3 linked regions of the Elephas maximus indicus genome follow. The protein of the gene in region 2 interacts with the protein of the main gene of each other region in a biochemical or structural test. Links are inferred from orthologs where the notes say so. Each region holds a gene or a part of one and is shown on either strand. Other genes may lie near its edges.

Region 1 (9,978 bases), on a different chromosome or scaffold from region 2:
TCTTTTTTTTAATTGTGCTTTAAGTGAGAGTTCACAGCTTTAGTCTCTCATACAAAAATTTATACACACATTGTTATGTGACCCTAGTTGCTATCCCTATAATGTGACAGCACACTCCCCTTTCCACCTCAGATTTCCTGCGTCCATTCAACCAGCTCCTGTTCCCCTCTGCCTTCTCATCTCACCTCCAGACAGGAGCTGCCCACTTAGTCTAAAGTGTCTACTTGAGCTAAGAAGCACATTCCTCACCAGTATCATTTTATGTCTTATAGTCCTGTCTAACCTTTGTCTGAAGAGCTGACTTCAGGAATGGTTTTAGTTCTGGGTTAATGGAGAGTCCTGGGGCCATGTCTTCTGGGGTTCTTCCAGTCTCAGTCAGACCATTAAGTCTGGTCCTTTTATCAGACTTTGAGTTCTGCACCCCACTTTTTTCCTCTTCTGTCAGGAACCCTCTGTTGCATTCCCTGTCAGGGTGGTCATTGGTGATAGCAGGGCACCATCTAGTTCTTCTGGTCTCCGGCTGATGGGGTCTCTGGTTTATATAGCCCTTTCTGTTTCTTGGGCTAATGTTTTCCTTATGTCTTCAGTGTTCTTCATTCTCCTTCATGCTCCAGGTGGGTTGGGACCAACCGATGCATCTGAGGTGGCCACTTGCTAGTTTTAAGACCCCAAGCACCACTCACCAAACTGGGATGCAGAACATTTTAATAAACTTTGTTATGCCAATTGACCTAGATGTCCCCCGAAACCATGGTCCCTAGATGCCTGCCCCTGCTACGCTGTCCCTTGAAGTCTCATCACCCTCTTGATTTCTTTCCTTGAGTTTACAACCACGTAACCTTCTATCACGTATAATGTTGACTGGCATGCTCCGTCTCCCCCACTGGATGTAAGCTCCTCAAGGACGGGAGTGTGTCCATTCAGTCTGTCACTGTTTCTCCAGGACCTAACACAATGCCTGGCCCACAGGAGGGGCTCGGTAAACATTTGTCCCGTGAGTTGGTTTTACAGAGGAGGAAACCAGCTCAAAAAGGTGGAGTGACTTGGCAGGCTCACACAGCTGGTGCCCAGGCCTGCCCCTCTCCACCATGCACTGGCTGCCACCACCCTCAGACCGGCCCCTAGGTGGACCCACCTTCAGGCTGCGAATGCTGAACGGGCTGGCGTCCGACCTAAGCATGACCTGGATGTCCTGGAGCACCTCCTCGCCGGTGGGCCGGGGCCGGGTCACCTCATCAGCCACCTCCTTGGCAGCTTCCTCTAACTAGAGAAGAGGAAGGGGACAGGCTGTTGTGATGGGGCAGGGCCAGCCCTGGAAGGCTCAGGGATGGGGGCCCACTCACCAGTTGCAAGTGCTCGGCTGGCTGCTTGTACAAGTAGTCAGCTAGGTCCTCATCAAAGCTGGCCAGATCCTCCATCTCCACTTCAATCCAGTACTCGCCCAGGTTGTAATGCCGCTTGAGCTCATCCCTATAGCGGGCGGGTGCGCAGGAGGGAAACCAACGCTGGCTGAGGGGTGCCTGCACATCTACATCTCCTGCAGCGCGGCCACCACCGCGCCCTCCCCTTCCCAAGCCAAGCAAACAGCTCACTACAAGGTGCTGCAGAGGCTCCCCGGTGCTGACAGAGGAGTCCTCCAAAGAAAGTTCCACGGGAGCGCCCGCAAGATAAAGGACGTTTAAATGCTCGAAGACGGGGTTCCGCACAGGTCAGCTTGGCAGACACTCACTGCAAACTTTCACTGCATGACTCCTTGGAAACTTTAACTCACTCCTGGAAACTAACCTCAAACTTGGAGACTCCCTGGCAGCAGGGACCTTGACTGTCTTGTCAACCACTAGACACTCTTTTTACAGAGCATCAGACAGAACTGTTCCAAGAACACATTTTGGGGACCACTGACCTATGCACAGCCTGCTCCCCAGCCTCATCTCAGGACCCATTCTCTTCTACTTTGTCCAGTAGCCATATCAAACCGTCAGCCGGTCTCTGAAAGTCCCTTGTGTAACAGGCCACCCTTCCTTGTATAACAGGCCATCCATGCAATCACTCCTCCCTGGAATGCCTTCCACTCCCGAAACTCCTCCCTCAGCTCAACTGTCAAGTCAGACTTCAGCTCCTTCCTCTGCCTTCCACTCTTCCACTGAGGCAATTATCACCTTGTAATTTATTTGTGGGTCTCTAAGCCTCACCTTGCTGACTTAGTAGCCTCTTCAGGGCAAGCAGTGTCTTTCCATTTTTGTATCTCAGTGCTTAGCACTGTACCCTACACGTTGCAGGTGATCAGTGTTAGCTGGTCTGGCTATAAATGGAGGCAGGAATGGCTATACCCACTTTACTGATTAAGAAACTGAGGCCCAGAGAGACAGTCACTTGCAAGTCACTCAGTTAAGAACTGGTCGGGTTCAATCCAGGGCCTGACTTTAACAAACTCAAGTTCTCTGCATTTTATGGTCTCCAGATAGTAGCTTGGCCTACCAGAATTCAACAAGACACCATTGGCTTTTACAATGAATGAAAGGCAGGGATTTGTCCATTGTCCAGCTTGTTCCATGCTGTGGCCCAGCACCTGGGACAGCACCCAGCACACAGCAGGTGCTCAATCAATACACAAGCAGTTCCCGGGTTATATAAGAGATCTGGGTTACCAGTGAGATTCATTCCTAAGTGTGTCTTTAGAAATTTGCAGTTAAGTCAGAACTCAGAGCTAGGACAGGCTGGAAATGGCACATGGCATTCCCTTCCCCCTGAGGCCTAGGTCCTCTGGGTCCTCTGCGTGGTTATTACTTAGCCTTACTTTAGTGCAAGAAAAGGCTTGAAGTCCTTTCAAGGAATTAAAAACTGCACGTGCAGCAAATGAAGGTGATTGTGATAAAGAATTCATTGAGGAGGGGCTGGTTCAGTCGTTTTAAACTGAGAGCAAAGTGATGTAACATTAAAGGCCCAGTACAGTTGTCCTGAGTCAGACATTCTCAGTCAGACGTTCATAACCCAGAGACTTACTGTAAGTTTCAAGACTGAATGAATGAATGCATGAATGAGTGAAGGGAACCCTAGCTGTCATCTTCACCATTTACACCCATGGACAACTTGAGCTTACAAGGTATCACAGACACTACCTGGAAGAACATAAGAAGCACTTGAACAAGGAACAAGACCTGTCTCTGTCCAAGCAGCCCTAGCTGGGTTGTTAGTGGCCCATTCGACACACCCCAAAATTAACTTCAGTTATAAAACAGATAAAACCATATGCTCTGGGGGCCAGGGGAGTGGAAAACGCGCTGTGACCCGGGTGATTCGGCTCTCTGGTCCTGTTTCCAACCTCTGCTCAGGCTGTCTAGGACACTAATGGGCTCTAAGTGAAGTGTGGCCAAACATGGTCTGCCCCACCCCCAGCTCTACAGCAGAGGGGCTGAAGGTGCATCTCTGCTCCAGTCCCTCTCAGTGCCCACCTGTATTTGAAGGTGAGGCCGGTGCGGTCGGTGCCCACTCGGTACTGTCGCAGGAACTCCCTGAAGCGCTTCTGGAGCTGAGACTTGCGGGCCTGCCCCTCATCGGCCCCGGGGTCCCCCCCGAAGCTGTCGCTGTAGAAAATGCCAGGGTCGTCGAAGCCCGACATGACTGCACCTGGCAGGGGAATAAAGAGCTAAGGCGGGCTGGGAGCAGTGCGCGGCATTTTCTCCCCTCCGACGCCAGGGTCCTCTGCTCGGAACCAGAAGCAGGGATGTCCCGGCAATGAGTGGGGGTGAGGGTGGCCCCAGTTCCCCTCCCGGAGGCCACCTCCACTGAGACCCAAAGTGCAGATGCCAGGGGACCTCCGTGGGGTCGGCTGCCTAGTCCCACCGGCCTCACCTCTCCCTCCCCGAGCTCCACGGGCTCCGGGAGACAGGAACCTCCTTGCTCCCCGCCGGGTTTCGCGGGAAAAGCGGGACGGCGCGCTCAGACGCCGCGGCCGCTGAGTCCTTATTGGTTCGCCGGAGCCCTGCGGCCAGCGATTGGGCCACTGTGCGACCCGTGATCAAACCCCGGACCTCCCAGCCCCGCCTCCCGCCGGAGAGGATTGGCTGTGGGGCATATGACGTCAGTTCTAGCCTTCTTCCGGGCTCCATTTTCTGTGGGAGGAGCAATTGATTTGGCGCGAAACTTCTGACTCGGAAGGAAGAGGCCGCGGTAGTGGTGGCAGCGCGGGTGGGGCGGGTGCAAAGATGGCGGACGGGCCAGTTTTCAGGGGACGGGATGAGTGCGGGCTGCCGGTAGAAGTGCTGAAAGCTGTTTCGTGTACTTTTCCTGAGATTTTTAAAAAGCCCTGGTGGCACAATGGTAAATCACTGAACTGCTAACTGAAAATTTGGCGGCTGTAACCCACCCAAGTGGCACTGCGGGAGAAAGGTCTGGCGACCCGCTCCTGTAAAGATTATAGCTAAGAAAACCATATAGGGCAGTTCTTCTCTGTCACATGGGGTCACTATGAGTGGGAATCAACTTAATGGCATGCAACAATAAGAAAATGACCCCTTTCGGAACCGTGGGGTGAAAGAAGTAGCTTAGAAATTAGAGGGTCAAATTGCCCCATTTTGTAATGACAGACTCAGGCCCAGAGAGGCGAACCCTTGCCAGAGTGCGATCCAGCGCTCTGTGGTTCTGAGGAGCCCACGGCCCTGTGGCCGGTGGATGGGAGAGGCAGCATTGGAACGCAGTCGCCTGCATCCCTGCTTCGTGTGCTTTCCACCCTAACACGCTGCCTCCAAAAGCTGAAGATTCTTAAATTATTTGATGTTGTTTAACATTTGAGAAAATTCACAACGTGATTTCCAACCTAACTTGAAAAATTGGAAGATTTGGGCAACACCTGGGCTTGCATTCTCAAGTAACAACATGAGCTGGAACTGAGTGGCTCCTACCCTTTAGATGAACATGGGTTCTCCAATTCACCCAGTCCCCACTCAGCCTAATTCTCCCCTTAAGTTTTCCTATCTGGCCCCCAAGGAGCCCTGGTGACATAGTGGTTTAAACACTTGACTGCTAACCAAAAGGCTGGCAGTTCGAACCCACCAGCCAATCAGCAGGGAGATGCGGCAGTCTGCTTCCAGAAAGATTACCAGCCTTGGAAACCCAATGAGGCAATTCTTGTCTGTCTTATAGGGTCAAAATGAATCGGAATCGACTCAACTGCCACAGGTTATAGGTCTGGCCCCCAAAGGCTTGTGAGCTGTGACCTCTGCTGTATCTCAACTCCCTCCTTGTACACATAAAGTCCCTGGGTGGCAAAGTTTGCCCTCAGCTATTAACCAAAAAGGAGCCCAGGTGACACAATGGCTGAGGGCTTGGCTGCTAACAGGTTGGCCATTAGAACCCATCCAGCCGCTCTATGAAAGAAAGACCTGGCGATCTGTTTCCATAAATATTGCAGCCTAGAAAGCCCTATGGAACAGTTGTACTCTACTCACATGGGGTCATTATGAGTCAGAATTGACGAAATCCACTCAACGGCACCCAACAACAAGAACACTAACCAAAAGGCTGGCAATTTGAACCCACCCTGAAGCACTGGAGAGGAAAGACCTGGAGATCTGCCTCCTTAAACATTACAGCCAAAAAAAAAAAAACCCATGAAGAATTATGCAAATAGGGATAAAGCACAGAGAGATCAGCTAAAAATGCGAAAATGCATTGGTGTTCAAACCCAGAATTAGAACCCCATTCTTCCAACCTCTTGCCTCTGTGCTTGCCACTGCCACAGCCTAAGCTTTACAAACTGTTGAGTGACAGCTTTGTGTCTGCCCCTGCCTGTTGCTGACAAACTGAAGAAAAAGTCAAATCCAAAGCTTGAAGAGGTGTGACCAAGCGGCCAGTGTCTGGGCTGAGCCTGTCAACCCGGTCCTGCCATCTCCTGTGCATCTTGGGGGGCTGCCTTATCTTGCCCATTTGTCAGAAAGGATGCGTGAGCATGCCCCTGCTAACAGGATCTGCCCCAAGCTGTGTCAGAGACCCAGCCAGCACCGAGGGGCAGAGTTTGTTTGGCCCCAAGATTTAGAGAACTCATTCTGGGGCCCTGCCCACACACAACCTGAGTGCTTCTAGGACTAGCCTCAGAACCATGACTTCTCTGGGGTCCGTGGAAATCTATGTAACTGAACGATGCCCTCTTGGAGCTGGTTTTGTGCCTGGAAATCCTTATGAATTAGAAATGCTTCTTTACCCACCAACCCTTCCCACAACCACTTTATTGTATTACCTCCTTAAATAGTACTAAGATCTTTAATTACAGGCTCATATGTCAACTCTGGCCCCTTTGAGTTATGCGACCTTGAACAAGTTACTGTGAACTCTTGGTGTTTGTTTCTTCATCTGTAAAATGGAGATTGTCGTTGTTAGTTGCCTTTGAATCAGCTCCAATTCATGGTGAGCTATGTATAACAGCACAAAACAGTTCCAGGTCCCGTGCCACCTTCATGATCGTTCGTATATATGTTTGAGTCCATTGTTGTGGCTATCGTGTTAATCCACCTCATGGAGTATCTCCCTCATTTTCACTGACCCTGTACTTTACCAAACATGCCCTGTTCTAATGATTGGAAAACGGAGGCAGTGATAGTGAATTCAAACGGTGCCTGGTGCGTAGGGTCTGCTTGCTGTTATTCTTATTAAACTGAAGTGCACCATCTCCCTCATCTCCCGCCCACTCCTCTCCAGTCCCACCTCTCAACGTGAACAACTGGAACAGAGCCCTCCACTCCTTTTGCCCCATTCACACAAATGTGTATTTACATGTATGGGAGGATTTTAATAAAAAAATGATACTAAATTAATCTGGAGTTTGCCTTTCTCATTATTTTATGGATGTTCCTCCAGGTCAGTAGACATAGATTTAACTCACTGTTTGTAATAGGTACTTAATTTTCCATAGTGAGGATACCAAAAACCAAACCTGTTGCCACTGAGTCAATTCCAACTCATAACGACCCTATAGAACAGAGTAGAACTGCCCGACAGGGTCTCCAAGGAGTGGCTGGAGGATGTGAACTGCTGACCTTTTGGTTAGCGGCCAAATGTTTGACCACTGCGCTACCAGGGCCCCAATTCAGCCCTTTTGCTATTAGAATTCAAGGTGGGTTCCCTTCCTTCATCATTCTTTCCTTCTCTACTCCCCGCCCCCCACGCCTTTCTTCCCTCCTTCCTTTTCCACTACAAACTATCTATGCCCCTTTGAGGAAACTAAGTCCAGGAAACAAGCGCTATAGCTGCAATTTGAATGCCTAACCTTTGCATGTTGTTGTTAGGTGCCCTCGTGGCGACACCTTGTGACAGAGTAGAGCTGCCTCATAGGGTTTTCCACACTGTAATCTTTATACAGGAGCAGATTGCCAGGCCGTTCTCCTGTGGAGTCACTGGATGAGTTCAAACAGCCAACCCTTCCGTTAGCAGCTAAGCACTATCTCAACAGTGGCACCTGGACCTGGTGGCACATTGGAATCTCCCAGGGAAGTTTACATAAACAGAGATTCCGGAGTCCCACTCCAGCTCTGCAGAATCGGAGCCTCTCAGGGCAGGGCCTGGATTCCGTGGTTGAGGGTCCCCAGGTGATTCTGATGCCACCATGCACAGGCTGGAGTTTGGACACCACTGACCCTCCCACCAGCTATAGGAACTGGGTGTGTTGTTCCTATGTTACCACTGAACAAAATGAGACTGGAAGTGACTTGTCCAAAGTCACAGACTAGTGACACAGTCAGGGCTAGGTACTAAAGAAGTGGTGTCACTGGGGGGCATGGGGGTGGGTGTGTGGGCTGTCAGAGGGGTTGACACCAAAATGACCCCAGGGTCCATGGCAGTGGCAGCGGCAGTGGCAGTGGGCTGGCCAGTGGTGGTGGGGGAGGGGCCACGAAGGCAGTGGCATCACTAGGGCTGGTGTCACCTGTCTCCCAGTGCAATCTCTTCATTACCTACCCTTCCCCCCATCACCCACCAGTCTCTAGGGTTGGTGTTACCAGTGTGGTACCTCATCATCACCCCCATTACCCTTACCTCCTTCTCATACCTCCCCCCACCACCAGCCGGTCAGGGTACAGGAGGCCTGGCCACCGTGCCTGCCATTGGGTGGAGAAGAGGGTCCTGCCTTGGCAGATGGCAGAGGGGAGGGGCTACCCAGAGCAGCAGGGAGCGGGGCAGAGCGGGACCATTCTGGATGGAGGGGTGGGTTCTGCTGCACTGGCTGACACCAGCCCTAGTGGTGCCACTGGACTAAAGTCCCCTGACTCCAGTCCTCGTGTACAGGCCCTGTACGGACCTTGTCCCTGCTCCATCCAGTGCACCTTCAGTGACCAGGTGTCAGTTTCCTGGGTGTGGAGGCTGTTTGTTGAGGAGTAAGGCAGCCAGAAGGGCTTGTTTTCCAGCTGCAACTACCAACCAGCCAGTCGCCGTCCAGTCAGTTCTGACTCATGGTGCCCCCCCGTGTGTCAGAGAAGAACTGCTCCATGGTTTTCCATGGGCGACTTTTCCGAAGTATATCTTTCAGGCCTTTCTTCTGAGGCACCTCTGGGTGGACTCCAACCTTTCGGTTAGCAGCTGAGCACTCAACTGTTTGCACCACCCAGGGACTCCTGAGGGCTGGTCAGACCTGCTTTAAATTCTTCCTGATAGTGGTAATGGCTCCTCACAGGTTTCCTTGAGATTAGAGGAGACAAAAGTGAAGTGACTCGCACAGGGCAAGAAAGTATCACTCAGCAAGAATCACAAAACACTGGTCTCCCCTCTTTCACAACAGAAGCTGACTTCATAGTGATGACACTTCCCAGGCATCCCATTTGCTTCTCAAGACAGGCTTGTCGTTAGGTGCCATGGAGCTGACTCCTATGCACAACAGAACAGAACACTGCCTGGTCCTGTATCATCCTCACAATTGTTATGCTTGAGCCTATTTTTGCAACCACTGTGTCAATCCACCTTGTTGAAGGTCTTCCTCTTTCTCCCTGATCCTCTACTTTACCAAGCATGAATGCCTTTCTCCAGGGACTGAACCCCAAGACAAGAATAATGAGGTAGATATCACTGTATTCACGTTATAGGTGATAAAGCTGAGCCCCAGAGAAGCTAAAGAACTAACCTCGCAGTCAGAGCTACAAAGTGGGGGAGCAGAGATTTGTAGCCAGGATCTCTCTCCAGTTCTGAAGATTCAGTGCACAGAACTCATACATATTACCCCAGATAACAGGGCAGCTCCATCGTCAGTAAAGGCAAGTCTTGCACCAAGGAGGGTTCAACACAATGATTCACCACCCAACAACTGCCTAAAACTGCTCCCTATGCTCAAAATGGGGTACAATATTGGAAACCAGCTCCTACCACCCTGGTGGCTCCCCACCAGGCATTCAAGAAACAAGGGAGGAAAGGTCAGTTCCCAACGGAGCCCAAGAAAAACACTTCAAGTTGCTATCAGGCAATGTAGTTTATTGTTTCACATACAAGTTAGAGACCAAGGCCACAGTGCTGTTAAACACCTCCCTCCCAACCCACCCGCTCCCCAAAATACCCTCCCCAACCCAGCTATAAAAACATAACGGAACACGGCAGTTCAGGCGGAGCCAGCAACAAAAGGTGGTTCCAACAAAAACAAGACAGAAACACAAGACACAACATCTTCACACGTTTATATAAAAATCGCCATGACCCACAGGGAAAGCGGTCACGGCCACGTCGACAAGAAGACCTCCAACCTGGGGCATTTGGAGGGTCAGGACAGTTGCCGTTGCTGGCTGTGTCCTCTGGGCTCTGCTGCAGGAACAGGGACGCTGAGAGGCTGGACGGGGTGGGGCAGGGCCCCTTGGCCACTTTGGAGGTTCCAGTCATAGGGCTGGGTGTACTTCTGGAGAAGGAAGGTGTCGAAAGACTCCTCCTTTGAAAGCAGGGAGGGCCACAGGGAGAGAGCAAGGGGCCCTGGAACAGCCCCCCATGCCCAAGGTAGGGAAGCCTCTCCAGAAA
Region 2 (9,620 bases):
TTTCCACGGAGCGCCTGGCGGATTCGAACTGCCGACCTCTTGGTTAGCAGCTGTAGCACTTAACCACTACATCACCAGGGTTTCTGTCATAATTAACTACATTACCAGGGTTTCCGTCATAATTAAATTTGCCAAAACTACAAAAAGGTGCTTAACGATTAGTGCATTTAGGTATTCAGAGACACATGCCATTTTTGTAAATCAAAGCACTTTTCTGCAACGGACAATCCCATTAGCCATTGATAAGATTCATCTTCCAGTAAACATAGCTCCAAGTCACTGAATCAACAAGTATTTTAAAAGCAGAGATAAATGTCAAGTGAGTGTTCCTTACCAGTCTTGCTTTTCTAGCCACTGGGCCAGGTACTGTCTGACTTCCATGGGAAAACTGTCATCATAAAGCTGGTGAACCTGCTCTAGGAATTTGGAGTCAAGCTGCTGAAGCTCGTACCACTGAGACATCCTACAGGGAAAAAGAACATGCATCATGACTGGAAGACCACAGCTCCAAAGAAAGTGTATCTAGCACCATGTTTTTAAAAAATAATCCAAAACATAATATATCTTTGAAATATGTTATTTAAGTGGTGCCTATATTCTAAAGCCCATTTTTTACTGAGTTTTGGGATCAACATTTTTTTCTTCTCCAGGAAGCATATCTTTAGGTCTTTTCTCAAATGTCAACACACCAGGGAAACCTTCTCAAGCTACCTCATTTAAATTGCAACCTGGAAAATACAATCCTGCTTTCTTGATTTATTTTTCTCCATAGCACTTATAATCATATATTTCCTTTTTTTATTTTGCTCTTTGTCTGTTTTTGTCACATGAAGAGAAGAATGTTGTTTAGTTTTGTTCACGGCTCTACACCCAGAAGAGCGTAGGACACATATAGTAGATGCGCAATAAATATGCCTTTAAAAAGGATCTTGCATCAAAAAAAATCAACAGAAAACATTTTTTAATCAGTAGATTTGGTTTAGGACAAACTGCACGAACTCTCCAAAAACCAGTCTCTACAAATTACCTCACAACTGGAACAATAAACAAACAAAAAAAACCCAAACCCACTGCCGTGGAGTCGATTCCTACTCATAGCAACCCCATAGGGTTTCCAAGGCTGTAAAGCTCTATGGAAGCAGACTGCCACATCTTTCTCTTGCAGAGCCACTGGTGGTTTCGAACTGCTGACCTTTAAGTTAGCGGTCAAGCGCTTTAACTAACCGCTGCACCACCAGAGCTCCTAGGGGACCAATAAACAACATCAAATAATAAAATGAGGGAAAACCGAAGTTGTCAAGGATTTCATACTTGGATCAACAATCAACATCAGTGAAAGCAGCAGTCAAGAAATCAGACGACGTATTGCATTGGGTCAATCTGCTGCATAGGACCTATTTAAAATTCTAAAAAGCAAAGATGTCACTGAGGACTAAGGTGCACCCTGCCCTAAGCTGTCACCTTTTGAATTGCCTCATATGCATGCAAAAGCTGGATAATGAAACAAAGAAGACAGAAGAAGAACTGATGCATTTGAACTGTGGTGCTGGCAAAGAATACTGAACATAACACGGACTGCCAGAAGAACTAAGCAGTCTTAGAAGAAACACAATCGGAATGTTCCCTAGAAGAGAGGGTGGTGAGGCTTTGTCTTGCTTATGTTGGACATATCATCAGGAAAGATCATTTGCTATAGAGGAACATCATGTTTGGTAGAGGGTCACTGAAAACTAGGAAAACCCTCAATGAAATGGAATGTCACGACAGCCTCAACAATGGGCTCAAACATAACAAAGATCATGGAGATGATACAGGACTGGGCAACGTTTCCTTGTTATACACAAGGTCCACAAGAGCTGGAGCCCACTCAACGAGCCCACTCAACAGCAACTCACAACAACCAATTACAGTACATTTGTCGTTTACTCAAACGATTTGACACTGGTATCTTACGGCATGGTGGTTAAGGGCTCAGCTGCTAACCAAAAGGTCGGCAGTTCAAATCCACCAGCCACTCCTTGGAAACCCTATTGGGCAGTTTTACTTTGTCCTATAGGGTCACTATGAATCTGAATCGACTCGACAGCACCTAACAATGACAATGGTAAAATTAATCATTTTTGATTATACATCTTTTTAAAGCGATATATTTTTCTTCTTTGTCTACCGTATATAATACATCTGGATACAAATCTTCAATCTTAGAAATGATTTGTAAAGATTAAAGCAACACTTAAAATAATCTGAAAGAATAAGACAGTATTTATCTCTTGGGTTAAATGTAAGTCAGTTTTTGCACAGCAGCTCAGAAGTTTAAAAATAAGACAATATCTGATTTAAAAAACCAACCCAAACCCACTGCCATCGAGTTGATCCGACTCATAACAACCCTACAGGGCAGAGTAGAACTGCCCGATACAGTTTCCAAGGAGTGGATGGTGGATTCGAACTGCCGACCTTTTGGTTAGCAGCCGTAGCACTTAACCACTACGCCACCAGGGTTTCCAATCCGATTTAAGGAAGTCTTAAAATCCATATGAAAATGAAGAACCTTCCATTACCATAGCATAACTCAGGATTTTTATCAGCCCACAGTTAGGAACATTCGGAGCGGATATAAGTGGATCTCATCCTGCCAGGCCTCTAAGGGAGGGTCTGAATTTTCAAGGATATGGGAGAGTGTGTGTACTCCTGCAGGCTCAACTTCATGCCAACTCCACAAACCTCCTTCCAAAGGAAGGGGACTGACTGGCAAGATTACAAACCTGGCTGCCATCACCAATGCCACTAGAACAGACCGGAGCCCACCTCTGTGGCAACCTGCTGTAGCAATTTCATTTCTCACTTAAAATATATTTTACCTACGCAGAAGTCTCGGAATCTCTCTCTCTTCCTGCTAAAAGAAACCACTGCCGTCGAATTGATTCCGGCTCATAGTGACCCTATAGGACCTTCCTGCTAGGTGTCTAATAAAACCCATTGTCGTGGAGTTGGTTTGGACACATACGAACCCTACAGGACAGAACAAAACCGCCCTATAGGGTTTCCAAGGAGTGACTGGTGGATTGGAACTTCTGACCTTTTGGTTAGCAGCCATAGCTCTTTAACCACTGCATCACCACACACCCAAAACAAATACTCCAGCCTGAGTTTCAACCAGCTGGGACTGCAACTCCTCATATTAGCTGGATGACCTCAGGTTGCTCTCTCCCCTATCAGCATGATGCTTATTAAGGCTCCGTGGGCTAGTATACACACAGAACATAGCACAGAGCATGAGATCGATAAATAAACATTAACAAATCTAAAATCAATCTTGTCTTCTCACAAAACCTGTTACTTCCCAGGGAGTTGCATCACCATCTCTCAGTCACCTGGTTCAAACTCCAGTCTACCACTGCCCGCCTGATGGACTACATTACCTCCTGCTTAAGAAGGCTACAGGCTTCTACATTCCCAGGCCAACTTCTGGCCCGCCTCATTCTCATCCATATACAAAGCAACCCTACCCCACAGCTGCCACATCATCTACTGTTTTTTGACTGTGCTCAACATTTCTGCTTAGCTCCCGCCAACACACGCACCTGAAAACAGCCTCCCCACAAATTTCTGCCTCTGCAAATCCTACCAGGATTGAGGCTAGGTGCAAATGCCTATTCTTCCCTAAAGCTGTCTGAAACTTGCTGCTGTTGTTGGGTGCCACTGAGCTGATTCCGACTCGTAGTGATCCCATGTGACAGAGCAGAACTGTCCCGTAGGGTTTGCTTGGCTGTAATCTTTAAGCTTTCTTTGACTTGTGTGCCTCACTGTATCTGAACCTCTATTAGAGCATCAGTCCCAGGGGTCCTTGTAACGCTCTACGATGTCTCCCCTATGTGATGTAAGCTCCAGAGCTGCAAGGACCATGCCTTATTTTTCTTCACATCCTCTGAACCTAGGACAGCACCCTGCACAGTATGTGTTCCATAATAGCTGGCTAAACTGATATCTAATTCTCACTGAACTGGGATGAAAACGGCAGACCATATTATGGCCCAACAAGTTCCTCATTAAGCAATGGTTGCATACTAGATTGTGCTGGAATCTTAAGACTTATTTCTGTCTCATAAAAACAACCTCCCCCCAACTTCTACATACAACATCCAAAGCACAATCAGCCACACACCTATACATATATCCTAAAATGCTTCGGTATTGCTCGGAATTTTTTTTCAAGAGTAATTATACTCTTCGGGGTTTGCAGGAGCTACATATCACTTTTTAAATTCCCAGAAACCATTTACAAGCCATATGCTCGTTCATTCTTTTCCACGAACATTTCCTTGACTGCCACCTTGTGCCTGGCACGGCACGAGAGGCTGAGGATCCAACCAAAGCAGCAGCTACACTCAGCGCGTTAGGTGCCAAGACTGTTGGGTTTGCATGCACAGGGTGCAAGCGTCTGAGCTACCGAGGGTGGTACATGGAATAGGAAAACTTGCGGCGAAAAAGCAGAAAACGTCCCGCTGCACAGTCCCGATGGCCGGCGTTCCGGGACGTCCCGCCCCCAGGCACCCGGCACCTTGCGCCACTCACTCTGCGAGCCAAGCCCGGAAGAGGTGGACAGGGGTTTTTGAGGATGTAGCGGCGGAGACGCGTAGGTGCTGCCTCTCCGAGAGCTCCGAACCGCCTCTTCTAGGTCTGGGGTCGAACCGTCGCGTCCCCTAGCGCAGGTAGCCCTCTCGGCAGCCTCTGCGCAGGAAAACGAAAGTACCAGGCTGGAGAAAAGGCCGTGGCCACAGCACTGCCTCCTTCCGCCTCCGCCAGTCACCGAGCGGCTGCCGCGCTCGGCCAATCAGACGCGGCTGTTCCGCGGGCGTCACCACCTCCCTCTGCGGGGCGCTCCCTTTCCCCTCCCCGCACCCGCCTTCCGTCGCGTCTTTCCGTAATCGTTAGCGGGGCCTGGACTTAATGACCTAACTTTCAACTTTTTTGCAGTTTCGCCGACTGAATGCTATTTGCATATTTCAGAGAACAACTAAAAGGAAGTGCTGTGTTTACAGCGGCCCAAACTTGACCTAAAGGCGCCCTGGCGGCGCAGTGGTTCAAACGCTCTGCTGCCAACCGAAAAGTTGGAGGTTTGAACCCATCAGCTGTTCTGTAGGAGAAGGGTGTGGCAGTCTGCTTTTGAAAAGGTTACAGCCTTGGAAACCCTATGGGGCAATTCTCCTCTGTCCTGTAGGGTCGCTATGAGTCCGATAGGACTCCGGGCAACGGGAAAGTTGGCCCTGCATTGGCCCCATACCCGAGAAGCCGAGGTAAAGAACAAAGTTGGTGATGTTACCATTCTAGAAACTCAGCAGCTGACTTCCGTGTAGATAAATCCAGCGGACGGACGTTTTCCTGTCTTCTCAGAAACATTTGGCACAGTTGACTCATTCTTGAAACGCTTTCTTGGGCCTAATTACAACACATCCTTCTTCCTACTGCTGTGGCATTCTTTATCTAAAAAGAATGCTGACTCCATCTTTACTACCAAATGTTAGTTTTAAGTTTTAGTCAGGGTGGACTTTGGTCAGCTTCTTTACCTACACTTCTCAGGCGGTCCTCTGGTGACATTACCCATAGCTTCAATTGCCTTCTAGATGTGAAAGACTCTTAAATGTATCCTGTCCCCACCTCCCGTCTGAGCTCCACACCCTAGGCCCCCTTGATTCTCCACTAGGATGTCCCACAAGCTCTGCAGCCTGATGTTCAGAACTAAACTCATCATTTTCCTCCTGAAATCTGCTCTTTTTCTAGTGATGATAGTGCCAGAACCCTGGGAGAGATGGGTTCCGTTGTTTTCTCTCTCACCTCCCCCACCCCCCAACCTGGTCCTCAAGCGTTGTTCCTTCTTCCCCTTAAATATTTCTCAAATATCATTTACTTTTCTCCCTGTCTTCTGCCACCCACCCCCCATCTCTTATTTGAACTGTTGCAGTACATTCCCAAGTGACTGTCTCTCATCAGCTTAGTTCCTTTTAATCGATTCTCCATACAGTGATTTGAGTGATTTATTTATAATTTGCAAAGTAGAACATGTCATTTGTCAACCTGAAAATCCAGCAATGGTGTTTCTTTGCTCTTCTTATAAAATACAGATTTCTTAACACAGATTACAAAGCCCTGGCTCCCCTATCCCTTTCCCCATCTTGTAACACTCCTTCTTTACTTACTTCAGCCTTTTTTTACTTCAAATAAGCCCAGCTTTTTCCCCAAACTTGGTGCCCTCTCACCAACAGTTCTCTATATTTGGAAAGTCCCTTGAGCCAACACCCCCTCCCTCAAGTTTTTTGCTGGCTAATTCATCTTCTAAGTCTCAGTTAAAAATCTCAGCTTAAATATACTTCCCTGGGATAGCATCATGAAGTCAGACTAGATTAAGTCTTACTGGAACGTATGCCATAAAACCAACTGGTTGCTTCAAGTAGATGGGATTTGAATCAAGCCTTGAATAATAGGGCAACTTTAGATAAGAGAGGTTGGCCTCTCCAGAATTTAAATAATTCCCCAGGAACATGCACATAGGTATGTATTATAGTATTTTACGATTTCCACGTCTATATACCCATCTTCTTGTCACACAAGTACCCCCACATGGCAAGTACTGAACTAGTAATAGCAATGACTCTGCTACCAAAGTAGTAGTGAAACCAGCTTTCTGTACAAAGAGATGCCAGACCACTAAGAAGGGCTCACAGGTAACTGGAAGTCTCCTACTCACTTGTGCAAGGACCCGGGGAATGTTTTATTCCCTGAGAAAAGCTGATCCTGGGAAAGGTAGATAATATGTTAAAAGTATGTTTTTCTGGTACTATAAAACACTACCTTCCCTATGCCTTCAGCCTCCTTTGTTCCTCTGTCATTGACTGTACAAGCCCTCCTCGCTTCAGAACTGAATGCCATGATACATACACTCCAACTAGACTACCTTCTTCTTGTCTCTTTCTTCTTCACTGTATATGCTGAATCAAATTCCCTAGAATGTTGCTTTAATAAAGTCATTCCTTTCTCAAAAACTCTTAGGAAATCCCTACCATGTTTATGATAAACACAAGCTTTGCCTGCTAGTGCTATTACCTAACTAAACCCATCTATCCCTTCCTCTGCCCCCACACTTTTAATTTTCCCATTTCTACCCCTTTGCATATACTATTCCCCCAAATAACAAATCCTGCCCCTTACTCTCTTATCAAAGTCTTACCCAGCCCAAATATGTTCTCCTTCCTGAAGCATCTCACCCTGTGGTGGTCAGTCTGGTCGCTATGTAAGTGTCTACTTGGGACCCTGGTGGTGTAGTGGTTAAGAGCTACAGCTGTTAACAGGAAGGTCGGCAGTTTGAATCCACCAGGTGCTCCTTGGACACTCTATGGGGTAGTTCTGCTCTGTCCTATTGGGTCACTATGAGTTGGAATCGACTTGACAGCAGTGGGTTCTCTGAAGTGTCTATTTATTTTTACAAGAACCATAGCAAGTCATGTGGCCAAGACCAGAGGCAGTGCACATGAAGGTATAAACTCCCCCCCCGCAAAAAAATCATTGCAGTCGAGCTGATTCTGACTCATAGTGACCCTACAGCACGGAGTAGAACTGCCCTGTTGCATTGCCAAGGCTGCAAACCTTTACGGAAGCTGACTGCCACATCTCCCTCTGCAGCTCACCTGGTGGATTCAAACTGCCAACCTTTTCATTAGTAGCCTAGCCCTTAACCACTTCTCCAACAGGGCTCCTATGTAGAGGTATACTCTACCCAAAGTGAACCATGGCAACGGGTATAGAAGGAAAGAAAAAAACTGAAAATACAACCGAGTACAAACGGTATTAGCTAGTTTTTTTTTTTTTTTTTAAGATTTATATCTTTTGCAAATTTAATATTGTTGTATATGAACAGATGTGACGTATGCCCCGTCTGGTCAGAGGCTTTTACTATTCTGTGCAATTGACTTGTCCTTGTGTGATCCTTCCCTGCACCAAGATATGGCATGCCTCAGGTAGCCGCTGCTTCCTCCACCTGGGTCCAGGAACCAGAGATGTGTGGAACAGACTCCAACCTGCCGCCTGGAGCAGTACTGCAGCAGCCCACCCACAGACCCTTGAGTGAGAAATGTTTGTTGTTGTCGTAAGTCACTGAGATAAACCAAACCAAACCAAACCCGTTGCTGTCAAGTTACTTCCGATTCATAGCAACCCTATAAAAAAAAAAAAAAAAAAAAAAAACCCTATAGGACAGAGTAAAACTGCCTCATCGGGTTTCCAAGGAGCACCTGCTGGATTCGAACTACTGACCTTTTGGTTAGCAGCCGTAGCCTTTAACTACTGAGATAAGGAGGTTGTTTATTGCCACTGAAATAGCTGACTAATTCATAGATGGCAGAATCTAAATTCCAAGTTTTTTTAAACAGGCTAGAATGCTGCTGGAAACCCTGGTGGTGTAGTGGTTAAGTGCTGTGGCTACTAACCAAAAAGTTGGCAGTTCGAATCCACCAGGCGCTCCTTGGAAACTCTGTCCCATAGGGTCGCTATGAGTTGGAATTGACTTGACAGCAACAGTTTATTCAACGGTTTAGAATGCTGATGGGCCAAAACCAGTTGGATAAAATTCAACACAATAAATATAAAGGCCTGGAGTTAGATTAAAAGGTCCCTGGGTGGAGCAAATGGTTTGTGCTTATCTCCTAACCTAGAGGTTAGCAGTTTGAACCCACCCAAGTGGCTCAGCAGAAGAAAGGCTTGGTGATCTGCTTCTGTGAAGATTACAGCCAAGAAAACCCTATGGAGCAATTCTACTCTGTAACAAACACATGGAGTAGCCATCAGTAGAAATCGACTCGATGGCAATGGGATTTTTTTTTTTTTGGGTTGAATCAGTTCAGGACTGGCAAGTGACTTACTGTGACCAATATTATGCAGCAGACATGATATTGTGTCATTCCGAGCATAGGCCTCAAGAGATGTTAACATGCTCTGGTATGTGTCGGAATGCTGCCCAGCTTTCGTGAGTACAAGCCAAGCTAGCGTGTTGGAGAGACCACCCAGACCTCAGCTGAGTCACTGCAGTCATCTGAAAGCTCTGGCCTCAGACATGTGAGAGAGTGTGGGTGAGCTCAGATGGGCCTGACCCAGATGAACAGAACTGCCAGCCTGCTCTAGACTCAAAAAAAAAAAAAAAAAAAAAAAAATTTACAAGCAATAGTAAATGATTGTTGCTTTAAGCCACTGAGTAGGGTAGTTTGGTGTGTTATATAGCAGTAGATTACTGATACAGATTTTATGGGAGAACGCAAAGATTTTACTACTGAATTCTAAAGCACAATTGCTTCAATACAGCAGCTACAAGTCTGATGAACAAATCTGTAGTTACATATTTAGAGACTTTCCCTAACCCCCAGCTACCATATTGTGTTTTAGCCATATGTTTCTAATGCTGGTAGTAATGTTGGTAACCTAAATATCTAATAGCAGGAATTTGCGTAAATGCCAGTCAATACCTCTTCATCCCTTCTCCTTTTCGAATGTTAGCTCTACCATGCAACCCTGAGAATGTCACTAAACCAGTGTAAACCAAATTTGTTAATCTGTGATATGATGTAAATAGAGGA
Region 3 (10,185 bases), on a different chromosome or scaffold from region 2:
CCAGAAGGGAGGGCCCTGAATTCCTGCTCCTCACAGCCAGGCTTAGGGAGCCCAGACCCCACCAGACTACTCCCAGGCACCCCAGGGACCTACAGGTGCCTCACAGCCAATAAGTGTGGGAGTCAGGGGTTGATGAGGGTGGGCTCCTGAGGAAAGACCACCATTACTTACCCCACTATCACTTCCCAGGTTCCAGGTGCCCTCAGCAACCCTTCCGCTCCTCCCCCTTCCCAGAATTATTGGGACCCCAGGCACTCAGTGGGTAACTTCCAGGGCTATTTTCATTGCAACGGAGGTTGAAGGAGGCGAGGCTATTTGCAAAGGGAGGAGCTTCTAACTTCACAAGGGGACTTGGGGAGACTACAGCCTCCCCTAACATTCCTTAGAGGCTCTGCCCAGCTCACCCCTGAATCTGGAGGGCAGGGAGAGGGATATAGAGTCCCTCTTCGGGCCCCAGAGAGGCTGGAGGGAGAGGGGACTGGGGAACAGAGCTCGGTTGTGCCAAGACTGGAAGACCCAATTCCATTTTCAGTTCAGTCTCCGACTCTTTGTGGGGGCCAGGGCGAATCTGTTTCCTTGTGTGATGATATGGACAGCCTGAGGCAGATACGAGGGGCCACAGAAGCGCAGATACATCCACTCCTAACCCTAGGCTCACATGCTCACTTCTCTCTAACTGTCCAGCAAAGCGTCACCCCTCCTTGCCCCAAGAACCACTGATGGGTCCCAGGCCTCCAAGCTCCAAGACCGAAGCCTTCCCCAGGCCAGAAGCCAATGTCTGGCCAGGGAACCCCCGGTGGGCAGGGCAAGCCACTGCCTCCTCTGGGACCCCAGTTCCCACACCCAGTGCAAGGACTCTTCATGCACCCCACTACTCCCACCCTATGGTGGGAGGGGAGGAGCCCAAGGAGGAAGGCTGCCCCTGAACACTGCGTATCTGTCCATCCGCCTAAAAGGACCTAGTGTTACCTGTGGCTTCCAGCTCCTGCTTGAGCCTAGTCCTTGCTTGTGCTGCCGCCGCCACGCAACCACCACCAGAGAAGCAGGCCCGCTGCCCTCACCCGGGGCCAGTTCCCAGCAGACCTGCAGGGACAGGAGAAAACAGCTGAGCCAGAAGGTGCAGCCAAACAGACTTTCCCCATCGGTCAGCCCCAGCATGGCTGACATAGGCCCAGCTCATCCTTGCCTGGCTCTGAAACCTCAGGCCTCTCTGGACTCGGCTTCCTCTTCTGTGAAATGGGGTGGTGGGCCCAACATTTCCTGGGCAACGGTAATATGTCCATTCCACGCTGGGGGTGGAACACTGTGTTCCTGCCCTCCGAGTGTTTCCAGCCTGGTGGGGAAGCCATAGGGCATACACAAGAGAGCCATTCCTGACCCTGCAGGCTTTGGGGGGCCTAGGAAGCAATCAGGTACCCCTACTCTGTGGTCTCGAGCAACTCCTCTGAGCCTCAGTTTTCCTCATCTTCAAAATGGGAAGAATGCTGGTACACATTTCCCTGGGTGGTTCTGAGGCTCCAATGATGAGACATGCCCAGTCCTCTGCTAGACTCATATTGGGAGTATCAAATGAATAGTAACACTTTTTCATTCCTTGTTTGGTACCTTGTAGCTCTGGATATTCTCAATTATTGATGTACCCATTATACAGCTGAGGAAACTAAGGCCCAGAATTATCCTGAAAGGAATGGATGGCAAAGGCAGCAAAGAGGCCCTGGTCTCCTTTTTCTGCCGGCCAGGCACCTACAAAAGATGCCCCTCCCCAGATGTGAGTCCCTCTCCCAGCTAGAGACCCCATCAGCACTCCCTAGGGGCTAATGTATCCTCAGGCTTTATCTTTTTGTCTGTACTTTAAATTATTTCTAATTTCAATTTAAACTTCAATTAGCTGTGCCAGCTAAACGGTGTCAGTACCCTGCAGTCACAGGTCGGAATGACCCCCCACCCCTTCGCTGCTGCTGAAACTAGGGGTGGGGCCGAACAGGGCTGAGTGCTAGGGGCTCTGTCAGCCTCTGCTTCCTCCCACAAGCAGCCTGGTCAAGGAGGTGGGAAGATAACATCAATGGACACATCCCAGGCAGGAAATTGGGTTGGTGACTGTCTGGGCTTCCATTAGCCCCACTCCCAGGAGAATGGGAGTCATACAGCTGGAGAGGCGGTGGCTAAATAAGACTTAATATGTGCTGAACATTCATTAAAGGCCAATGCGGTGATAAAGGACCCCTGACACGGGACCGCCAGTCCTCAGGACGACCTTCTCCATTCTGCACATAAAGAAACTGAGCCTTAGAGAGGCCTAGCTGAATCTTTTGCTCTTAAGATGCCCAGCAAGTATTGGAGCCTAAGTCTTTTCTGGTTCCAGAGCCCGAGGTCTTAGTTACAACACTACAAACCCCAAGACTTTCCCCCGGTGTGTGTCAACTTGGGAGAGCAGAGGATGGCAAAGTATGGGGCCTGGGCCTTCCCAGACTACCCAGGAGCCAGGGCCTGGCTTGGGGCCTGCTGTGTGCACACTCACACCCTGGCAGTCCACCACACGCTCATGATTGGGTTCTCACCCCGCCCCTGGCACTGTCACCCAGGGCACAGGCACCACACACCTTGTCACACCCCCTAATGCCACCGACACCCATGCCCAGGCACTCTCAGTTCCCCACAATCACGGTCACTCCCCGAGCACACGCACTTGCAGTTTCATACAGTCAGACTGTGAGTCTCCCACCAGTCATCCGCTCACATCGTAACCCCACACCGCCACGGACTCACCCCCAGCCACAGCCCCGTCACACACCGGATCCTTTACACCACCCCACAGCCAGGTAGTGGCTGACCAAACACCTCAACATCACACACACACACACACACACACACACGCACACAGAGCTGCCCTTTGCCGGTCTGTCTGCCACGCCCCACCTCAGTCCACAGAAGGAAGAAGGAAACCCAAGGGAACAGTCCCCTCCCTTGGTGACCAGGTCAGCCTGATCACGGTGGCTCAGTCACAGAGGAACAGAACTACATGCGTGTGTGCACATATTCATACACACATATTAGCCTGGTAGACTGGCACCCCGATATCGGGGGCTACCTCGATTAACAGGTCAAATGGTTGGTGGGTCACCATGACACACCCAGTGTGCAACGCAGGACCCTTGAGACACACAGGAACACTCACATACTTAATCCAACACATAGGGGGAGTCTAGTAACAAAGAACACACCAAGACATGGTTCACACATAGTTGGAAGGACTCACACAGAGCCTCAGGACACACACCCAGACACACACATACCCGCAGGCAAGTCCCACACGTGAGAAAGGACACACACACAGGCAAGTCCCAGAAACAGTGACAAAAAACACACAAGCAGATCTAGACACACAACATACCCACTCGCCCAGACACAGGCGACTCAGCAAGGGAGACAAGGTCCATGCGCACAGGATGGGGGCCAGAAGAGAAGGGACCCCTCCCTGCTCACGCAAAAGCCCCAGGTTTAAGTGGGAGGCTCAGTGGGGCTCTCCCCTTCCCCAAGCCGGGGAGCTGAGCAAGAGGGGCTGCTCTGACAGTGCAAATCTCCTGCCTCCCTCCGGACCGGGAAGACGCTCCCGCCTCCCCTGCCCCCGCCCCTCACCTGGCTGGGTCCCCGTCGGAGATGGCGCCTGGGCAGGGCAGGGGCCGGGGACCGACGGACCAGGCAAGTGCCCCCAAGGGAGAGGGTTGAAGGGGGCAGAAGGGCAGAGAGGTGGGGTGGAGGCTAGAGCCAAGCCCAGCCCAGAGATAGATGGAAAGAAAGAGTGACTGAAAGAAGAGAGAGCGAGGAGGAGGCGCCGCGCGGGCCGGGCAGGGACACCGGAGCTGGAGGCGAGGCCCGGCGGGCGGCCTGGCTTGGTTCGGCCCCGCGGTGAAAAATGAGAGGCGGCAGGACAGGCAGGGGCCGCGGAGGGGGCGGCGGGCGTGATCTGGGGGTGCGGCTCCCGGAGCACAGGACCAAGGGGCGGGGAGGGGGGCGATGGGGCACACGGGGGACGAAGGACAGACAGGACTGGGGAGATGCGGAGAGGGGGACACAGAGGGAGTGGGGACAGACCGACGGACAGAGGGTCCCAGAGAGATTCGGGAGGGACACTCGGAGGGGCTAGGGACGCCCAGTCGGGGAGAGGAGCCGGGAGCCCGAGGACTAGGGGGCCTCGGCTCCCGCCGTCGTATGGAGGGACGCAGGCACCAGCGGATCTCGGCGCGGCGGGACTTTCGCCGCCTACGGCTCAGTTTCTTGATTTCGGAAAGGGGAACCGGAGGCGGGGGGGCGGGGGAGGAAGGGAGGGATGGCGCGCCCTCCGGGTAGCCCCGATCCCGCGCCGGGGCCCAGTCCTCACTCACCTCCGGGCGCGGGGCCAGGCGCCAGGGGTCTCGGCGGCTGGGGTCTGGCTCCCCGCGCGGCTCTGAGGCGCGCGCGAGGGTCGGAGGTCGGTGCGGGCCCTGACCCGAGCGGGCCCGGCGGCAGATGAGACACGACCCGGGTCTCGACGCGGTGGGCGGACGCCGGGGGTCGCTCAGGGGCTCCCGGCAATCGCTGCCTCCGGCTCCGGCGCCGCCGCACACGGAAGTGCAAGGGGGCGGGGCGGCGCGACCTCACCCAGGTGCCGACCGGCCCCGCCCCCTCTCTGACCCCGCCCACCAGGGACCGCCCCCACCAGGGCCCGCCCCTCGGAGGCCTGCCCCCTCCAGCTCGGAGCCTGGGGTCCGCTGTCTCCGCCTACCTCGGTGCGGGTCACAGAGTCTCAGGCCATCTCTGCCTTCCCCAGCACACTTCACCCTCCGTCCGTCTTCGGTGTGCGCACCAGCCCTCAGAGAGGGTCCTGTTTTTACAAAGGAGGGCGCTCAGGCCCCAAACGGGAGCCCCTTCACTCCAGCACACTGGGGCCCGGGAGGCAGCGGCAGGGGTTCCCCGGCTCCTCGCGCCCGCGCCCGCGCCCGCGCCCGCGCCCGGGACTCCCCGTCGGCCAACCGGCCGGCCTTGCCAGACCTAGATCCGTCTCTTCCTGTCGGCTGGAGAGCGGACGCGACCGGGCTCCGTGCCCGCCGCCAGGCCTGCCCCCGGAGATGGAGCCGGGAAGACTCCAGGGCAGCAGGCTCTACCCGGTCCCAGTCGCTAGCCAAGGGGTTCTGGGAGCGTCCCCTACCCTGACCGGCCCCCCAGTCCATCACTCTCCTGCCTTTACGTTAGGAAGCTCCCTGTCGCCCCCGCAGATGCCCGAGTTTCCTTCCCAAACACCGAACATCGTTGTGGGCCTTCATTCATTCATTTACTCGTTTATCCCTTCACTGAGTGTCCTCTGGGCCCAAGGCCTGGGGACCGAGTGGACCCCAGTAAGTCCATTACCCTGCAGGCAGAGCTCACAAAGCTGTTAGCCCTGTATTCATCTAAAGAAATATCACTTTCCAACAGGCAGAGAAGAGGGTTCCAGGTCCCAGGTCCCTTGGGGGACAACCTAGAGGAGATGAGAAGGATCTGAACAGCTTTTCCCGGCTGAGGCCAAAGGGATGGAAGTGGGGGCAATCCCTGAGAAGGCCTGAGTTGAGCAAGGGGGCCATGGCTAGGACTTTGGTCTTCTGAAGAAGTGGAAAGGTCGTAAAGGTGGTTACATGAGGTGGAATGACAGGATCAAGTGGGCTTCTTGGGGGACAGATGGGGCAGAGGGGCTGCAGGAGAGAGGAGGGGCTGGGTTGGGGACAGAGGGGCTGCCTGTTAAGGTGGGAGGACCCTGGGTTGAGATCAGGGCAGATGAGTAGAGAAGAGGGGCTGGGCTGCAGGACTGTGATGGGCATGGTGCGGGGGGGGGGGGGGTGGCTAGTGAAACCCCCTGGGGATGGAGAGACTAAGAGAGAGGAAGATCCTAAATCCTGTTTGCAAGTGAGGTGGTAATCAGGAAAGGAGGGGGTCTGGCCTGGAGACAGAAAAACAACAATTACTCTTCCCAAGGTGGGGGGTGATGTGGCAGCTGAGAGGGAGCACAGGCTGGTGCCCTACACCCCAGGAAGAGGGAGGACCCAGTTTGAAAGCCAGATGATGTCCGGGTTCCCAGCCCTGACGCCTGTCCATCGTCCCATCAGGGTGGGCCCTTTCTACCAAGGTGGACACCTCTGGCCACACTGGACTACCATTTGGGAAATAGCCTTGCTCCTTCTCACCACCAGGCCTTTGCACATGCGGTTCCCTGGGCCCAAATGTCATTCTCACCCCCACCCCTCATATCTCTACTTGTCTTGGTTGTATCCACTCATATGCCACAACTCCCTGATGTCTACTTTGAATCTGTGCCCTATCCTTGAGCAAAGGGGCCATATATATTAGGGTGTTTTGTGTCCTGGTTGCCCCCCCAACCCCCACCCCATGGCTTCCCTGGGGTTGGGCTGGAGGCAAGAATGAGCTAGGTGAGCTTCAGGTGACCTTTGCCCATCTGGGATCAGGTTTCCTTTCTGGCTCCTCCCTCTAGGTCCACAACAAACAACTTGGCTTCTCCTTCAACACCAACAGTAGGCTCACACTGTGCCAGGCACTGCTGGGGGAGGGCTGACCCCTGGGGAGTTCCAGGTCCAGCCACCAGACCTTTGCTTCCTGCTGTTCGCCTTGGAAAACGGAAAAGAAGGAAAAGAAAACAATGGCTGTCACTGACAGGAGCTTCCCAAGACGCAGGCCCTGAGCAGGGTGCGGGATGTGTGCTGTCTGATCAGTTCTCAGGACCTTGTGAGGTGAGAGCCACTATTAGTGCCAGTTTTAGTGATGAGCAAACTGAGGCTCAGAAAGAGGTGAAGCCATTTGCCTAAGGGTGCACAGCCAGTAGGATTGAAACTGAGGTCTGCCTGTCTCCAAAGCCCATGCTTTAATCAGAGGTTCTGAATCTCGGCATTACTGACCTTTGGGACAAATAATTATTTGTTGTGGGGGCCATCCTGTGCACTCTAGGAAATTTAGGGGTATTCCTGGCCTCTACCCACTAGATTCCAGTAGCAATTCCCCAAGTTGCCACAATGAGAAATGTTTCCAAATATTGCCAAATGTCCCCAGGAGGGTAAAAGCACCCCTTGTTGATAGCCGTTCCTTAGAGTTGGGCTGGTGTTGCAAGAGCAAGAATGATTTAAGTTAGACCCCAGGAAGCACATTTCTGGCCCTCAGGATTATGCAGACTCAAGAGCTCAGGCTCTGCGAGCACCTCAGCGACTTTCTCCTCTGGAGACTCCAAGGAGAAGTGCGATGCATTCAGAGGGGGAGCAGAGGAGCTGAGGCTGTGCAGGCCATGCTGTGGCCAGGACACAGGAGGGATGCAGGTGGGCTTCCCTTCAGAGATGGCCCTGGACCTAGGGGGAACCAGCTTGCATGGGGTCCAGGGAGCCTGGGTCAAGGTTGGCTGGAGCCACCCTATACCCTGGAATTGCTCCTGGGTGCCAAAGAGATGGAAGTGGGCGGTGGGGGGGGACAATCCAGGTGCCCCTGTGACCTGCCTGGCATTGACCTAAGAAGGGCCCAATGAAGCCTAGGAGGAAGTCTTGGCTGCGCCACTTGCCAACCGTGTGACCCTAGGCGGGCAACCATACCTCTCGGAGCCTGAGTTGTCACCTATGAAAGGAGGCTGATGAAAAGCCCATCTCAGGGGCTTAGTAAGGATTAAGTGAGGTGATGTGCGCAGTGCTTTACCCAGGGTGGGCGCCAGTGGGGGCTCAGTCCACACTGTCCAGAGTTACTGGGTATTGTCATTGTGCCAAGCCACAGGCTCTCATTTGTGGAAGAGCTCTCGATAGCCTTGAGTGACGTAGGGTGTAAATCCCTGAACAGGGCTGGGCCCAAAGCAAGCACCAAGAAGTGGTATTTTCCCTTCCTCCTCATCCAGGTTTGCAGCCAGGGAAATGGGTGGATCGGGGTAGCACTGGGCAGAGTCCAGACTCCCACCCTTGGAGCCCACCTGGGCTGTCCAGAAGAAGGTCAGTCTGACTCCTGCTGCTGCTGTCTCACTGAGAGGCATGAACCCTGGGTGTCCCCCAGGATTCAGCCAAGCAGCCTAGAAAGGGCCTGGACCTCCCTCTGTCCCTAGGGTCCACCCAGCTGTGGGCAGGATGGGTGCCCCACCTACTTACTCTCAGCCAGGATTTTGTCCTTGTCCTGGCGTCTTCCTCACTGGGCCCCTCTCTGCCTCTCGCTCACTGTGTCTCTGTTTGTCCCTATCCCCTCCCTGATGCTTCAGCTGCCAGAGGCATTCCCATCATACCTAGAGCACTGGCTGGCCAAAAGGAGAGTGGGTTCATGTTTCTGGAGCAGGAGGCCCAGGCCAGCCAGGATGGTGCACCTGTGCAACTGCTGGAGATGTCAGAGCCTGGAAGGGTCCGGTTGGGAGTAGTGACGGTGGGGAGGGCACTTGGGACATGGTCCAACCTGTGGCCAACCCTTGGGCTGCCATGAAGATCATTAACAGGGGTATCAGCCTGGGGCACAGGGTGGGAGGGCAAGGGCAGGTGGGAAAAGCAGTGGCCTTGGAGACAGTGCCACATGGCAGGGAAGTGCCAGGTCAGGGGGCTGGAGGGCCCACATTCACATCCTGGCTCTGCCGTGGACCTGTGCTTTAGCTGTGCGTCCAATTCTCCATCTGTCCAGTGGAGATTATAGTAATATCCTCATGGGGGTGTCGAGAAGATTGAAGAGACCAAGCTCCTGAGGCACTAGTAGCAAAACTCAATAATCCAAGTTGTTGTTAACTCCCAAATAAAGGGTTGGTGAGACTGGGCTAAAGGTCTCCAGGTTCCTTCCTCAGTAAATGTGTGTTTGTGTGAAACCTGAGCAATGCCTACGTAGACAAGGGGAAGGTGCTTTCCAAAAGTGCGGGGCACAGGGCTTTCCTGAAGCGCTGGCAGGCCAGCCCAGCCCCAGCTCTACTCTGGGAACCCCTCCTGGCCCCTTTGCCCACCTGCCCCCTACAAAGGGCTGGGAGGAGGGTTGGCACTGGTGTTTGGGGCAGTCAGGAGCCACGGCTATCCCCTGGACACAGACCTCTCTTCTACCCCATTCACCTGCTCACCTCCCCTGTCCCTCTCCCGCTCCGCATTCACCCTGCTCTGACGCCTCACACTAGGCGCAGGCACCTGGGGTGTCCAGAGGGCTCAGTTACCACAGCCCCCGGGCCTCACTAGCCCCGTCACCTGCCTATGCCTTATTCTCCCCCGCAGAGGATGGCTCACGGAGCCCAGCTTGGCCCGGGGGAAGCTGGAGGGTGGAGGTATCCTTGGGCTGGATGGCGGCCCCCAAGGTGGAGAGGATGGGTAGGACCGCCCGCCCACCAGAGTCCGCCGCGCCGCCCACAGACCCCCATCCACACCCGCACAGCCGCGCACTCCCGGGGGCCGCCGCGCGCACGGCCGGGCAGGCTCGGCTTCCGTGCACCGGTACAGACAGGTCCCGTTCCCGCCCTCGCCGGGGCCCCGCCCCGCCCCGCCCAGCCCCAGGGAAGCCTTTCCAATCCGGGGGGGAGGCGCCCTCCCAGCCGCTGACGCAGGCCAGCCTATACACGACCCGGCTCTATTCCGGGGCCCGGCAGCCACCTGGCGGTTGGAGAGGTGCCGCCACCTGGGCTCGGGCGCCAGGCGGCAGCTTCCCCTGACACTGGTTCGATCCAAGAAAGTGAGGAAGACCCGAGCACACCCATTTTATGGATGCCGCAACCGATGCAAGGATCATTTACCACCTCGACCTAGCCTGTTCCTCAACTTGGAGCCTCTGAAAAGACCTCGAGAACAAGGAATTGTGGATAGGAGATGAGAGGAAGCTGTTCTGATGAAAAAGTAATATATTTCCAGTTCCATTACAGCAAATAAGGAAAATTAAAGACAGGTTTACAGAAGTAGAAATCTATAATTGCACCCATAATTTCTCTCTCTCTCTCGTGCATATGCTGCCCAGGCACACCTACCCTCCACACTGTCATTGCATCTTAGAAATTGTTCTGTTGGCAGGATGCGATCAGGGCAGGCTTTCTGGAGCACGTGGCTATGGGGCATTCGGAAACTGAGCAGGGCAGCCTGGGGATCTGGACCGCTTAATTCTTTTGTTCTGGCACTGGAATGGAGGGATCCTAGGCCCCTGACCAGACTTCACTCACAGTTTGCCAACTACTCTTGGCAGTGGGCAGTGCCTGGA

Evidence for each region.
Region 1: the proteins of STAT1 (region 2) and MCM5 form a complex in vitro, tested with the Homo sapiens proteins (2 studies listed by BioGRID). The link is inferred for Elephas maximus indicus from reciprocal best matches to the Homo sapiens genes STAT1 and MCM5.
Region 3: of the proteins of STAT1 (region 2) and PRKCD, one has a biochemical effect on the other in vitro, tested with the Homo sapiens proteins (2 studies listed by BioGRID). The link is inferred for Elephas maximus indicus from reciprocal best matches to the Homo sapiens genes STAT1 and PRKCD.

What each region holds. Positions count from the first base shown.
Region 1 is NC_064822.1:178,857,728-178,867,705, reverse strand, and holds the start of MCM5 (DNA replication licensing factor MCM5), read right to left. Parts: upstream 3,955-9,978; 5' UTR 3,853-3,954; intron 3,628-3,852; 5' UTR 3,620-3,627; coding exon 3,453-3,619; intron 1,471-3,452; coding exon 1,344-1,470; intron 1,265-1,343; coding exon 1,136-1,264; intron 1-1,135. UniProt on the Homo sapiens protein: Acts as a component of the MCM2-7 complex (MCM complex) which is the replicative helicase essential for 'once per cell cycle' DNA replication initiation and elongation in eukaryotic cells.
Region 2 is NC_064824.1:89,263,709-89,273,328, forward strand, and holds the start of STAT1 (signal transducer and activator of transcription 1-alpha/beta), read right to left. Parts: upstream 4,814-9,620; 5' UTR 4,576-4,813; intron 464-4,575; 5' UTR 463-463; coding exon 335-462; intron 1-334. UniProt on the Homo sapiens protein: Signal transducer and transcription activator that mediates cellular responses to interferons (IFNs), cytokine KITLG/SCF and other cytokines and other growth factors.
Region 3 is NC_064838.1:57,354,702-57,364,886, reverse strand, and holds the start of PRKCD (protein kinase C delta type), read right to left. Parts: upstream 4,630-10,185; 5' UTR 4,383-4,629; intron 1,084-4,382; 5' UTR 970-1,083; intron 1-969.